Linked DNA regions of Drosophila melanogaster. The protein of the gene in region 2 interacts with the protein of the main gene of each other region in a pairwise test. Each region holds a gene or a part of one and is shown on either strand. Other genes may lie near its edges.

Region 1 (3,257 bases), 3.4 Mb from region 2:
ATGTTACTGCTAGGACACGACCACCCCTGTAATGTATTTCGGACCCCCTCTCCTCACACAGTCGCTGGAGCACCTAATTTTATTTGTTTTAGCACCATCTCCACATTCATCACTACCACCATTGCAATTATCGCGAGGAAACTGACCGCCCCGATGGCCAACCCAAAACTTGACTTTATGCGTGTGTGCCTTCCCCTCTGTTTACCATTATTATTATTATCATAATTGTAGCGGTTATCTTTCAATATTCGGCCACTTTACATGGGGAGCGATCCTTCTTTCGCTGCGTGTATCGTGCGCAACCTTCTTTGAATATATACACTGATAAGGATATGAACACCTACTTCTATTTTATTTTATTTAAATAGTTTGCGATTACTTTTAAGTACATTAACTAACTCCGAACAACGTGTATTTTTCATCCCCTTAAATAGTAGCTAAGTAAATTTTATGCCACCATTTTACGCACGTGATCTTTTATTCCAACTTATTGCAAACGGCAAACTGGAAATTACGAAATGGGGACGACAGATATTGCACCTAAGATCTTCGCTTGGCCAGCGCCAGAAGCCTCTGGAGCTGGACTGCGGCAGCCAGGGTGAGTATGTCGAAGTTCTTCAGGTACCAGGAGATGTTGTACATGATGTGGATGCGCCAGTTCTTGTCGAGGAACGCTTTGTAGAAGTGGCTCATCTGGTCCGCGGACACTTCGCTGGTTCCGCTTTCCTTGTGCAGGCGGATGAAGTCTTCCTTTTCCTGTAAACGAACCAATTCGAAAGAGACGACATTAGCGGACTAGAAAGAGATGGCACAGTGGTCGTGGTTGTACCTCGTAGAAGCGCTTATTGTGTTTTGTCCAGAAGTCCGTGTTCCATGCCTCCACCTCGATCCGCTTAAGACGCAGGCTTCTTGCCAGCCGCGTCTCCTCATCGCCGTAGTGCCGTACGTACGGACGTAGGTTTGATTGCGCGTCTGGCGGTCCTATATAGTCGCACTTCACCGTCTTGGGATCGGGCTTGTGTGGCAAACCGACGACGGGTTTTTCTTGTGGCGGTGGACATCCCGGCTGCACTGCGGCATAGCACCGCGGTAGCTGTGTAAACAAGAAATTGAAAATCCGAATCCTATAAGGCAACACACTCATGGACTCACGCTGAACTGGAAAAGCGATATCCGGGGCTGGCACCTAAAACATTTGTTCATTTTTCGGTTATGTTATGTGAGGTGCAGTGTGGCCGACTGTCACGCTAGGCAACAGATTAAATATTGATGCCAGCAAATATTACGGGCATTCGCATGCGATTCTCGACTGAATATCTGGAGTTCAGAAACCAGTAGCCAGTAGCCAGCCAGCTGATACATGTCGACAAAATCAAGAAACAGTTTCTTTTTCCAAAATGGTCGCATATTGCATGTTTCCAGTCGCAATTGAACCAATAGGAATGCAGCCTTGTGAACAGTTAGACCAAAGCTTAAGCAAGAGTATCAGAAGAGATGTGAACCCCTCTTGTTTCCCTGTTCGTGACACGCAATCGGCACGTCATGCTCGAGCAAATACCAAAATCCCTAGTAATTTGCTTGCGTTGTGAAAATAAAACGATATACATGCACATCTCTAAAAACAACGTAGAAACAGAGGCTAGTACACTTTCTGTTTATTATGCTCGCCTCATGATTGCAACAAGAAATCTACTGTCGCAATTCGATGCTTCAAAATTATTTCGGTCAAAATGGGCAAGATTATCGACTGTAGACACCAGGCGAACAGAAAACGTTGGAGTACGACCGCTGATCGCTCTGAGAAATTAAACAGCCGTTCATTGTCAGAAGGGGTCAACTCTGGCCAATCAACATTAAGCACTATGGGAAAGAACCGTTCGATTAAGTCCAGTCAACGCCTAGAGATACGTAAACCATTTGTTTCATTGTTCGTGTCACGAATTAGGCACGACATATGCGAATAAGCCAAAATTTCCCATGCTATTCCATTGGTACGTAAAAATAAAACGAGGCACGGGCACATCCCTAAAAACTAAGTGGAAACTTAGCTTTGGACTTTTGCAGTGGATTATGTTCGCCTAGTGTTTTGAGCTAAAAAGTGTTTTCGTAATTACAAAAACGTACGTATGTACTGAATTCCCCTATTAAGTTTTTTTTTTTATATCGTATTTGAACTGAGACCTATCGTTCTCTTCTAACCACCTCTATCGTTTATAGCTATCCCGTGACAATAAATCCAACTGGAAAAAACAAACGGAAAAACTCCGGGGAAAATTCCAGGGAAAATGTCACCCAAAAACAATCATGATCCCTCGTCGTCCGGCGACTCTGGCAACACCAATGTCCAGGAGGCGGACCTCCAAGGTGAGTTTTGACAGCGCCCCGTTTCTGCTCGGGATTGGCTCTAATGGAATGACCCCTACAGAGATGGAGGACGTGAACAACAGTCTGGACGCTCTCAGCTGTGCCCTGGACGCCGTGGAGCAGCGCACAGACGACATTATGTCCCAACTACGGGAGCTGCTGAACTCCAACCGAGAGATCCGTCGCCTGATTGCCGAGGAAAATGACAACGCTCCCGAATCGGGAGATGACAACATGGACGGGCAGGCGGGCAGCGAAGCGGCACCCAAGTAGATCCCTCTACGAGAAGTTATTGTTTTGTTCATCCAAATCGTTTTTAGGCACAATCAGTGCTGTTTTTTTTCTATTATCATGTATTTTTGTCCTAAGTCCTAAGTAAACGTAATTGAAAGCAAGCTTAAGGTTCACTATGTCTTCCGCGCTTTCTTGCGCTTTGTCTTCTCTGTGATTTCAGCCTGGCCATTGGTATCGCTAGTAATATACTTGAAAGCTATCTGGAACAAGCGCATTGACTGCGCTTTGAGGCGCGCATTCTCGGCCTGCAGCTCTTGCACTCTTTCGTCGCTTGTCTGTGCTGAGTCTGGCTGATATTCTGCATACGATTTTTCGGACTCAGCTTCCTTGGAGGCGGTTTCCATTGGCTCGGATTCAGGTTCTTCTTCTTCGACCTCGGAATCCTCGACATCTGTAGCTTTGGTTTCCGCCTCAATTCCTTCGTCGTCCTCGTTCTTTCCCGAACTCATGGACGCTATAAGTTTGAGTATTATCTCCTCATCCGTACCCGGATGACTTTGGGTGTAGTCCAGCTCCGGTGTCTTGCGTCCCCCGGAGTAGTCCGGATCGAAGAGCTCGATACAGTCATTCTCATCCCACGGACTAATCATTCGCTTTAG
Region 2 (4,069 bases):
AGGGTATTGTATGCCCATGTCGGCGAACTGGATACCGCTCAGGGTATATTCTCTATGCGGCTATCGTATGATGAAACTTTTGTGCCCACCATCAACGATCTAATCGAGTCGCGGATCAAGTTGGAGTCCTGTTGCTATGCGCCCGAACTGCAGCCTTTTGGGATGGTCGAGCCGCTAATTATGCCGCTGCACGATTATGATGATGATGATGATGATGATGATGATTTCGCATTCGTTCCATAGGGATTACCATGTGCCCAAGGCGCTGAATCCATTTCAAAATAAAAATGAATGACGCACTTCTAGTGGGCAACCAGGAGCAGAAGCAGAAGCAGGAGCAGGAATGATGAAAACAGGACAAAACCAGACGACGGAACATACATAAATCATCAAGCTGGCATGTTTGCCAATCATTTATCTCAGGGATGAACTGCATCATTTGAAAAGTGTAACTTGAACATGAAATTGCTGTTTGTTTTTTTTTTTCTTTTTTTTTTTTTATTATTATTTGTGAAATGTAATACCATACCCATAATTTTATTACCAAATAAAGATGCGAAAAGGTTGCCAGCCAAGTGCACGTGCACAACTTCTGGACAGGATGGGCCGGGAATTCTAAGCCAAAACTAGCGTAGCATGCCAAATAAGTGAACTTTGCAGGCGCTGCAGACTTGCCTGGTTGGTTGGTTGGATGGTTTGGATTTCCATACCGAATTGCAGTAAAAAAAATAGATGTGTGCTGCAGTGCGTCTGCCGCTCGTCGGCTGGCTAGAAGGGCTCCTCCTGCGCCTGTGTGGCAGCATCACTCGGCTGCTCGGCGAACATGCGCTGTCGACGGCACACAGTTGGCGTTGGCATATCGTCCGCATTGCTAATGGAATCGCAATCGTAGTGACTGGGCACCTCGGGTGGCGGAGCATCGGCATAGTCGGTTGGGATGTCGGAAGCGGCGCCGAACCACGACAGCATCATTGAGACCTCATGCCACCTACTCGAATTGGACTGCGAATCCAGCTGCAGTTCATCGTTTAGCGGCGGCGGCACCGTTCCACTTGGCTGATGCGATCCAATGGTGGACGATTGGGCGCCACCAACAACCCGAACCCAATTGCTGCCGCTGGCCAGCGGAGATAGGTGCGTCTTTCGATACGAATCAATGGAGCTTTTGACTCGACGCATATCCAGCGGTGATGTGGCTGCCAATGTGGATCTTTCCTTGTTCAGCGTCACCAGGCAGGACTGCCGCTCCGGCTCCTCATCCGCGTCGCCATCACGCCGATGGCGTGTGTATTCCAGCTCCTCCTCACCATCCAGATCCTCGTCCATCGATTGCGCCAGACAGTCGTTCGAATGGAAGCTTTGCTCCGAGTACGACTGCCCCTCGCATTCCATCTGCAAATGATCGCCCTGCTCCGTCGATCGCTCACTGGTCACCGCCAGCAGTTCCTGCTGTTGTTGGCAATTGTCCGTGTATTCATGCCTGGGCCTGCTGGCCAAAACAAAAAAACAAACAAAGGTGAACATAACCCCACAATTCTCTAGAAGATTTACATACCTTGTGACCGGCTGCTGCGCTATGGACACCTGGTAGGAATTGGATGACGGTGCCGCCGGTGATGCTACTGTCGCCGCCAACGCTTGCTGCTGTTCATGTCTGCGCTGGCGTTGGATGAGCATGCGTTGGATATTCTGTCGCGACTGATCGTTGCCATAGGAGATGCGCTTGGCGGCCAAGTCGCGACGCTCCACGGCCGCCCGGCGTGCATCGTTCGCCGCCTGCAGCTTGGCCGTCATCCGGAGTTCGCTGCGCAGGAAACCGCCGGTGCCGGCCTCGGCCATTAGGCCATTCCGACGCGAGATCTCCTGGCCCAGTTGGCGTGCGCGTGCCAGCGTCTCTATGCGCTGTTTGTGCATCCGCTGCTGGGGCGTGCTGCTAGCCAGCGTGATAGCACCGTGTGCCTGTTGCCGTCTCCGGCGGGTAACGCGTCCGCCGGCTAAACCAAACGATTGGTCAACATTCGATGGCGATGATGCCGTCGATGTGCCGCCACCGCTGGCGCCACCGGCCGCCCCGCCAGCCACCTTAATTACCTCGATCTCGCGAAATAGCCGCTTTAATCGCACCTGTCGCATCTTCATTTCGATGGTGCGATCGTTGAACTCCTGGATGCGCTCGTACTCATCACGCAGACGCTGCAGTTGGCCATTCTTCTTGCTCTCGTTGAACATGCGACGAAAGTAGGGCGTCGATTTGATCTGATACGACATGATGGTGTGGTTTCTACTCTACCACGGATTATGGATTGGATTTACACGAAATTTGATTTTTATTTACTAACGAAATCCGTACAATTTGGATGCGACCGAAATGTGCGTTTTGGATTTGATTGAATTTGTGCTGCGGAATGTTTGGGATTTTTTGTTTTTCGTGTGTGTGATCTCAAGTTTGGTTAGCAAATGCCAAATGTTGCTGGAACCCGAAATGACATGACCACGCAGCGCCTACTTGGTTAACAATCCAAATGCTGTGGGCAAAAAAAAAACAAAGCTGATTCCATGTTAACATTTAAATGTCCAGAGTGGTTACAATAATTTATTGATCGAATTGCTTCTTAGTGCCTGAATCTTAAAGCTAAATGGGCGGGATTATGTGTCGCAGACACGCCTCCGCGCCACAAATCATAGCATATAAGTAGTAGTAGTAGCATAGCATATATCATCTGGTCACTGCTGTTGGCTGCACTGCATCTCCTGCTACCCACATCTCGCGCTTACAAGCTAAACATCACATGAGCATACACATAACATCGAATACATAAACGAACACAAATGAGGCGAACATGTTTAAAAGATGAGTTAAATAAGTAAAAAAAAAAAGATGCGCTGCTGATTGCTAATTGCTGGGCAGGATTGCTGCTTACGCCTTCACCAGCTTGGCCATCATGTTGGTCAGCTTGTGCTCGTCGGCGCCGGCAAAGGAGGCCAAGCGTCGATTTTGGCGCAAAAAGACAAACGTTGGCATGCTGCGCACCTTGTAGCGCTCCGTCAGCTCCTCGAATTTGTCCACATCGATCTTGAGCACCACCGCCTTGCTGGAGTATTTTCTGGCCAGCGATTTGACGGTGCTCTCCATTTCCTTGCAGGGACCACACCATGTCGCATAGAAATCCAGCACGATTAGCTTGTCGTCGGCCGCCTCGATGCGCTTGTGATAGTCGTTCATGGTGCGTACGGATGCCATTTTTATGTCGCGAGGATTAGCAAAGTGTTTTTCTTCTTTTTTTTAAATTAAAGAACTTGACGTGATGGGGCTGTTGGCGCTTTCGCTGCAAATTGTGAACTGATTGAAATGGCGGCTGCGTAGGCGACTTTATAGGGGTCTCCAAGTGGCGGTGTGTAGAGTGGAATTCCCGCCAATTTGCATGCTGAATTCTCGCGTGGCCGCTAAACAAAATGGCGGCCCATGGAGAGTGCAAAATGGCGGGCGTGTTAGGGTTGCCAGGTCGTTGGGAAAGCCAACCGAGTGTGTTGGGGGGTGGGGAACATACTTATTCACCACGGCAGGTCTATCGATATCGATATGAATATTATTATCGTAATTATGGCAAAATAATGGCGTCACACGACATAGTACTAATATTTTCCTCGAGTGTTGCCATAGCCGTGGTAGGTTCGAAGCCAAACTCACCTCAACACACCGCGCCGCTGACATTTGAAAACACTTTTTTTTCAATCCAAGAAGGCCGCAAAATATTTGGCGAAAACTGTATAAAAGAACGCCTGCCGCCCTACAATTTTCATTTCGGGCTGATATCTCGGCGAGGGCAGAGCTCCATTAAAATTCAAAAGTAACAAAACAAATCAAGTGAATTTTACACCCAAAACAAGATTTTCTAACATTTTCCTTTTTTTTTTCTTTCTTCTCTTCCCATTTTTTTTTTTTTTTGTTTCGTTTCGATTTGCAATCCGTTTGGAATTTAGTTAAAGTCATGGTGTACCCAGTGCGGAACAAGGACGATCTTGACCAGCAGCTAATCCTCGCCGAGGACAAGCTGGTGGTAATTGATTT
Region 3 (4,981 bases), on a different chromosome or scaffold from region 2:
TTTAAAAAGGTGGCATTGTTGGCTGGACTAAGATCTTCGGGGTGGCAATACTGGCCCACAGGGTTTTCCGGAATCTCCATTCGCGAAAAGAATTAAAAATGTTTAATTAAACGCAGTCGGAGCGTGCAAACAATGAATAAAACTCAGTGAAACTGGCGGCGGGGAAACGATGTGCCATTGAAAACGCAGAAAAGGCGGCAGCAGACAGTGACACAGCGCGTAAATAAGGAAGGCAATCGAAAGAAATCGATTTTTCAGGGCAGGTGGGCTACCATTAGACTCCCCACACTCATGCACACATATTGATGCAAATCCCATTTGCAGGATGCTGAAACTTTGAAGGAATCCAGAAACTGTAGAGAAGAAACCCCACAGAATGCCGGAAAACCTCGAGCTTCAGCAGTTCCAGGAGGGCGCCCCGCCCCCAGATCCCGCCCCCCGTTGGCTGGAGCGCTTGCAGCGACGATTGGGCGCCGATTGTCCCTACTTGGGTATCCTGCTGGCCACGCTCTCCTCGCTCTTCTTCTCCCTGTGCTCGGTGATTGTGAAGGGACTGGTGGACGTGAACCCCATGGAGCTGGCCTCGTTTCGATTCGTCGGAGTCCTGTTGCCGGCACTGCCCATCCTGATATACACGCGACAGCCGGTGTTTCCGGAGGGCAAGAGGGTGATACTGCTGCTGCGCTGCTTCATGGGCACAACGGGTCTGATGCTCAGCTTCTATGCCTTCCGACACATGCCCCTGGCCGATGCGAGTGTCATCATCTTCTCCACGCCCGTTTTCGTGGCCATATTTGCGCGTGCCTTCCTCAAGGAGCCGTGTACGCTGTTCAATGTCCTGACCATCAATATGACATTGCTCGGCGTGGTCCTCATCACGCGCCCACCCTTTGTGTTCGGTGACACGGCGGAGAGTGAGGATGTCGCTGGGAAGACGTACGACATCTGGGGACCAGTGGCCGCCATATCATCCACACTCTTCGGAGCCAATGTGTACATCCTGCTGCGGGCGCTCAAAAACCTGCACTTCTCCGTCATCATGACGAATTTCGGTACCATCGCTCTGGTCTACACACTGATCGTTTGCGCATCTATTGGAGCTGTGTGCTGGCCAAGCTGCGGACGGGATCGTTGGCTGGTCGTTGTACTGGGCGTATTCAGCTTCCTGGGCCAGATCCTGCTCACGCTATCGCTGCAGATCGAACAGGCCGGACCAGTGGCCATTGCTCGCTGCGCCGACATCGTCTTCGCCTTCGTCTGGCAGATGCTCTTCTTCGGAGAGACGCCCACCGCTTACTCGCTGGTGGGTGCGGTGATGGTGATGGGATCTGTGGTTCTGACGGCCCTGAAGAAATGGGCAGGCACCCTGCCACGCGAGTCGTCGCTGCGGAAGCGATTCAGGCTCATCCTGCTGGAATAGTGTGGTTCCAGAGCAACTAAAAGAGTTCGCGGTTTCTCCCTCGTCTTGTCACATCGTTCTCACCCAATCCCGGCAAGCATCAGTGGCCGGCAGCAAACCCGGTTCATTCATCGTAGACTCTACTTATATCAAGGCTCAGATCGTAGATTAATCAAAATATATAAGAAGGGACGCGTGATATCCACTCCACTCATAAGTAAATACTCGTAGTGCGTGTTTAGTTTAGCCAATTTCGCCGATTTGTTGTTTTGTACATTGTTATACATGCTTAAAATACGGTAATAAATACAACTTATGAATAAAATAAAAACAAGTTATAATTTGCATTTGAATTTCACGCTCTTCTACATGCAAATTTGCACTACATTTTTATATAATTCATTTAAATAGTTATAAATAAACAATAAAATTTCAAATCTACAGCGACACAACATTTTACATTACTTTGTAAAAATTCCGTTACATGTAGAATACAGACGGCGCGACATCGATACATACATCGACATCATACATCGATTGCAGAATTAATTTTACATCCACCTCTAGTTTTTCGTTTGTTTGTTTGTTTATTATTGTTTATGTTTATATTCTCGAAGCACACACACTCGAAAAAACAGAGCAAGGAACGGAAACAGAAACGGAAGACAAGCTGAGGGACTAGAAGCCCAAATCGGCAATAACCGCGTCCAGTTCGTCCTGCAGATTGGTGGCCCGCGATCGCACCTGCACAATTTGATCCTGCAAATTGTCGACGTTCGCCTGGAGCAGCACATTGCACTTCTTCATCGCCGCGAACCGGCTCTCGTGCTTCTTCACGCGCGGCTCCACATTCGCCTTCTTCGCGGAGTTGGGCGAGTCCTGCGGAATACGGTACAGGTGAGCTGGCTAAATAGTTTACGATTCTCTGGGGCTAACTCACCTCTGGCTCGGACTCGCTGCCCGTCTCCGCCTCACTTTCCTCCGATTCGGACTCCTCGGACTCGTCGTCGGATTCCTCCTCTTCTTCGCTGGCGTGCTCCTCCTCGGCCTCCTCTTCGTCCTCGTCCTTCTCCTCGCCGTCCACATCGTCTTCGTCTAGCTTCATGGAGGCAGCCATCTTCTGCACCTCCTTCTCCAGCTTCTTAAACTTCTTGTTCTCCTCCCTGTCATCCAGAGTTGTTTCCAGTTTAAGAACAATACTACATTACAATTTGTACTCACTTGAGGATACTCTGGTTCTTCTTCATGGCTTGCTTGAGGGCGTCCTTCTCCTTCTTGGCCGCCTCCTCTTTGACCTTCAGTTTGGTAAGCTTGCTACGCAGGATCTTGAGCTCCTTGCCAGAGCGACGCTCCCTGCGCTCCACCTTCTTCTCCTCCGGCTCGTCAGGATCGCTTTCGCTGACCTCAGGCTCCAGTTCCGGCGAGCTATCCCTTCCAAAGTTTGCATCGCTTGGTCGACGCGATCCGTCCAAGGATCCACCGCCCTGCAGCCGCAGTTAATGCAAAACGGAAAACGGGAAAGAAGGGATACACACATTGGATTAGTGAGGGCATCCTTGAGCGGGGCCTGATTTTACCTGATGCCGTGCTGCATGGTAGTGGTCGTAGTGGAAGCAATCGTCGTAGTCGTCGTCGTCGTAAGCAAAGCAATTACTAATGTGCGGTCTGTTAGTGCTTGGTGTCGCCTTTGCAAGAGAGCGTGAACGGGTTAATCGGTTAGTTGCCGCGGAGTGCAATAGCAAAGCTTTCAGGGGGATAGGAATCGGGACCGGACGTGTCCTAGACGGGTCATAACACCGCTTTGGTCTGGGCGGAAGCAGAATGCGGGTGGCGGGAGTCTTTCATGCAGCATGCGTCCGGCAGTTGGAGTTTAAGGTCGTCTACACACGAGATCTTCGGACATTGTTTATACCTCTCGTTTCGTTTTGATAAAGATTACATTTTTTAATGTCTACCATGGCATGGCCAGGTCCATTATTTGCTTAAAGAAAAATTCTGGAACCTTTTGAGCATTTCCCCAGAAACTTGATTTTGTTTTGTCTGGAATTGTGTGCAAGCAAACAGATAGCACAGGTAAGGGATGAAGGCACCTTACTTGAAAAGTATGGCTTCCGAAATTTAATACAAATTGAGCTTTGATAAAATATGGTCAGTTTTGAATTTCATTTTTCGCTTTCTCTTGATAATAATTTTACTATTCAACTTGTCTGATTCCTTCTCAACAGCAAGCTGTCTGCTGGCTTCAATCAGATTTCTGGTATTTTAAGTCTCGTGTGCAAACCGTTTTTAAGAAGGAAGAAAACAAGGTGTATCCACGGGTAATCCTTTCCCAGACCCATTCCACATTTGTGTCAAGTGTTGTCAGCTGATCTGTTTCTCTGGCTACAGTGGCTACTAGGGACAACTAACGAGGGATCTAAGGCGGAGTCTACGAATTGCGGTGGCTTCGTTAGCTGCTCCCGTCTACTTGCCGCCCTCAGCGGACGCAGCGAGGCGACGCCGGCGACACTAAAAACAAGAAAGAAGGACTAGCTTCGGAGTCCGATGCTTTGCATACCCTTGGAGATAGTTATGTTGTAAATGGTTGTAATCCAAAATCCTAATCTCAACTGACAACACTTTGAGCAGCATCCCATTACCTACATATACATATTACCGAACCCGTTCTGCAAAAGGAATTACCTGAAGAGCTGCTGCCAACTTGCGTTCGAGCAACTGAATCTGGCGGCGCTGCTCCTCGATCTCCGTCTTGGCCTCCACCAGCTGCTCGGCGGTGCTCTGATAGTTTTGCTCCACCTCCTTGGACACCTTCCGTGCGTCCTCTACCTCGCGCTTCAGGGAGTTGACGTAGGTCTGTTCGGCGGTGGGCGTAGGATCCATGGTGGCCACAATCACATTGGATCCGTACTCGAGATTCTTTTCGCGTGACTTCTCGCGTTCCAGTTCGGTCTCTAGGGTGCGGATTTTGGCCAGCAGCTTCTTGTTCTCGCGATCCTGCGCCTCACGGTTTCGCAACTCCAGTGCCAGCATTTGTTTGGTGCTCTGCAGATCGTCGCGGATCTTGTCGATGTCGTCCAGCTCGTCGGGGCTTTCCTCGTCGATGGACATAGCCGATACGATGCTGGGCCGGGATCCTCCGGCTCCCAAGGCCGTGGCACTGCCCGGTCCGAGTGCATGGCTGCTAGGCGCCTCGCTGAGCATGTTGATCTTCGACTGCGACTTCTGCAACTGCTCCTCGATGGTCATCTGTCGGCGGAACTTGCGCAGACCGTCCAGCACCGGCTTGCTGCGATCGTTGGTCTTCGTTGGCTTCAACTTGATGCCGCCCTGGATCTGCTTGAGCAGCTTGTTGTGCGAGTTGCCCTTCTCCGTCTCGTAGATGAACTTGTCGTCCAATTTGGTTATCGACTTGCACGTCAGGATGGGCTGAGATCTATTAGGATTTGAATTGTTATAAAAGAGATTTTTGAACATTTTCGTGCAGAGTTATCTATTATTTGGCTGCTGGTACTTCTGCACACTTAAAATTTAAGTAAAAGTCATTAACATTTGCCGGATAAAGTGGCGTAAACGCAGTAAGAT

Evidence for each region. Proteins that work in one complex are often made in the same cells at the same time.
Region 1: the proteins of CG4198 (region 2) and CG14818 interact in a two-hybrid assay, tested with the Drosophila melanogaster proteins (one large-scale study listed by BioGRID).
Region 3: the proteins of CG4198 (region 2) and CG17230 interact in a two-hybrid assay, tested with the Drosophila melanogaster proteins (one large-scale study listed by BioGRID).

The regions. Positions count from the first base shown.
Region 1 is NC_004354.4:1,878,519-1,881,775, reverse strand, and holds CG14818 (uncharacterized protein), read left to right. Parts: upstream 1-2,001; 5' UTR 2,002-2,120; intron 2,121-2,195; exon of another isoform or gene 2,196-2,217; 5' UTR 2,218-2,285; coding exon 2,286-2,364; intron 2,365-2,425; coding exon 2,426-2,637; 3' UTR 2,638-2,757; downstream 2,758-3,257. Other genes in the region: Coa8 (cytochrome c oxidase assembly factor 8), read right to left, coding at 541-756, 830-1,093, 1,153-1,203; CG14805 (uncharacterized protein), read right to left, coding at 2,772-3,257.
Region 2 is NC_004354.4:5,311,632-5,315,700, reverse strand, and holds CG4198 (uncharacterized protein), read right to left. Parts: upstream 2,444-4,069; 5' UTR 2,269-2,443; coding exon 1,556-2,268; intron 1,490-1,555; coding exon 769-1,489; 3' UTR 511-768; downstream 1-510. Other genes in the region: CG15930 (uncharacterized protein), read left to right, coding at 1-243; dhd (deadhead), read right to left, coding at 2,918-3,241; TrxT (thioredoxin T), read left to right, coding at 3,990-4,069.
Region 3 is NT_033777.3:11,435,804-11,440,784, forward strand, and holds the start of CG17230 (uncharacterized protein), read left to right. Parts: upstream 1-1,981; 5' UTR 1,982-2,077; coding exon of another isoform or gene 2,078-2,278; 5' UTR 2,279-2,296; intron 2,297-2,339; coding exon of another isoform or gene 2,340-2,562; intron 2,563-2,620; coding exon of another isoform or gene 2,621-2,883; intron 2,884-2,976; coding exon of another isoform or gene 2,977-3,084; intron 3,085-4,081; coding exon of another isoform or gene 4,082-4,832; intron 4,833-4,981. Other genes in the region: CG5281 (uncharacterized protein), read left to right, coding at 377-1,420; sals (sarcomere length short), read right to left, coding at 2,078-2,278, 2,340-2,562, 2,621-2,883, 2,977-3,084, 4,082-4,832.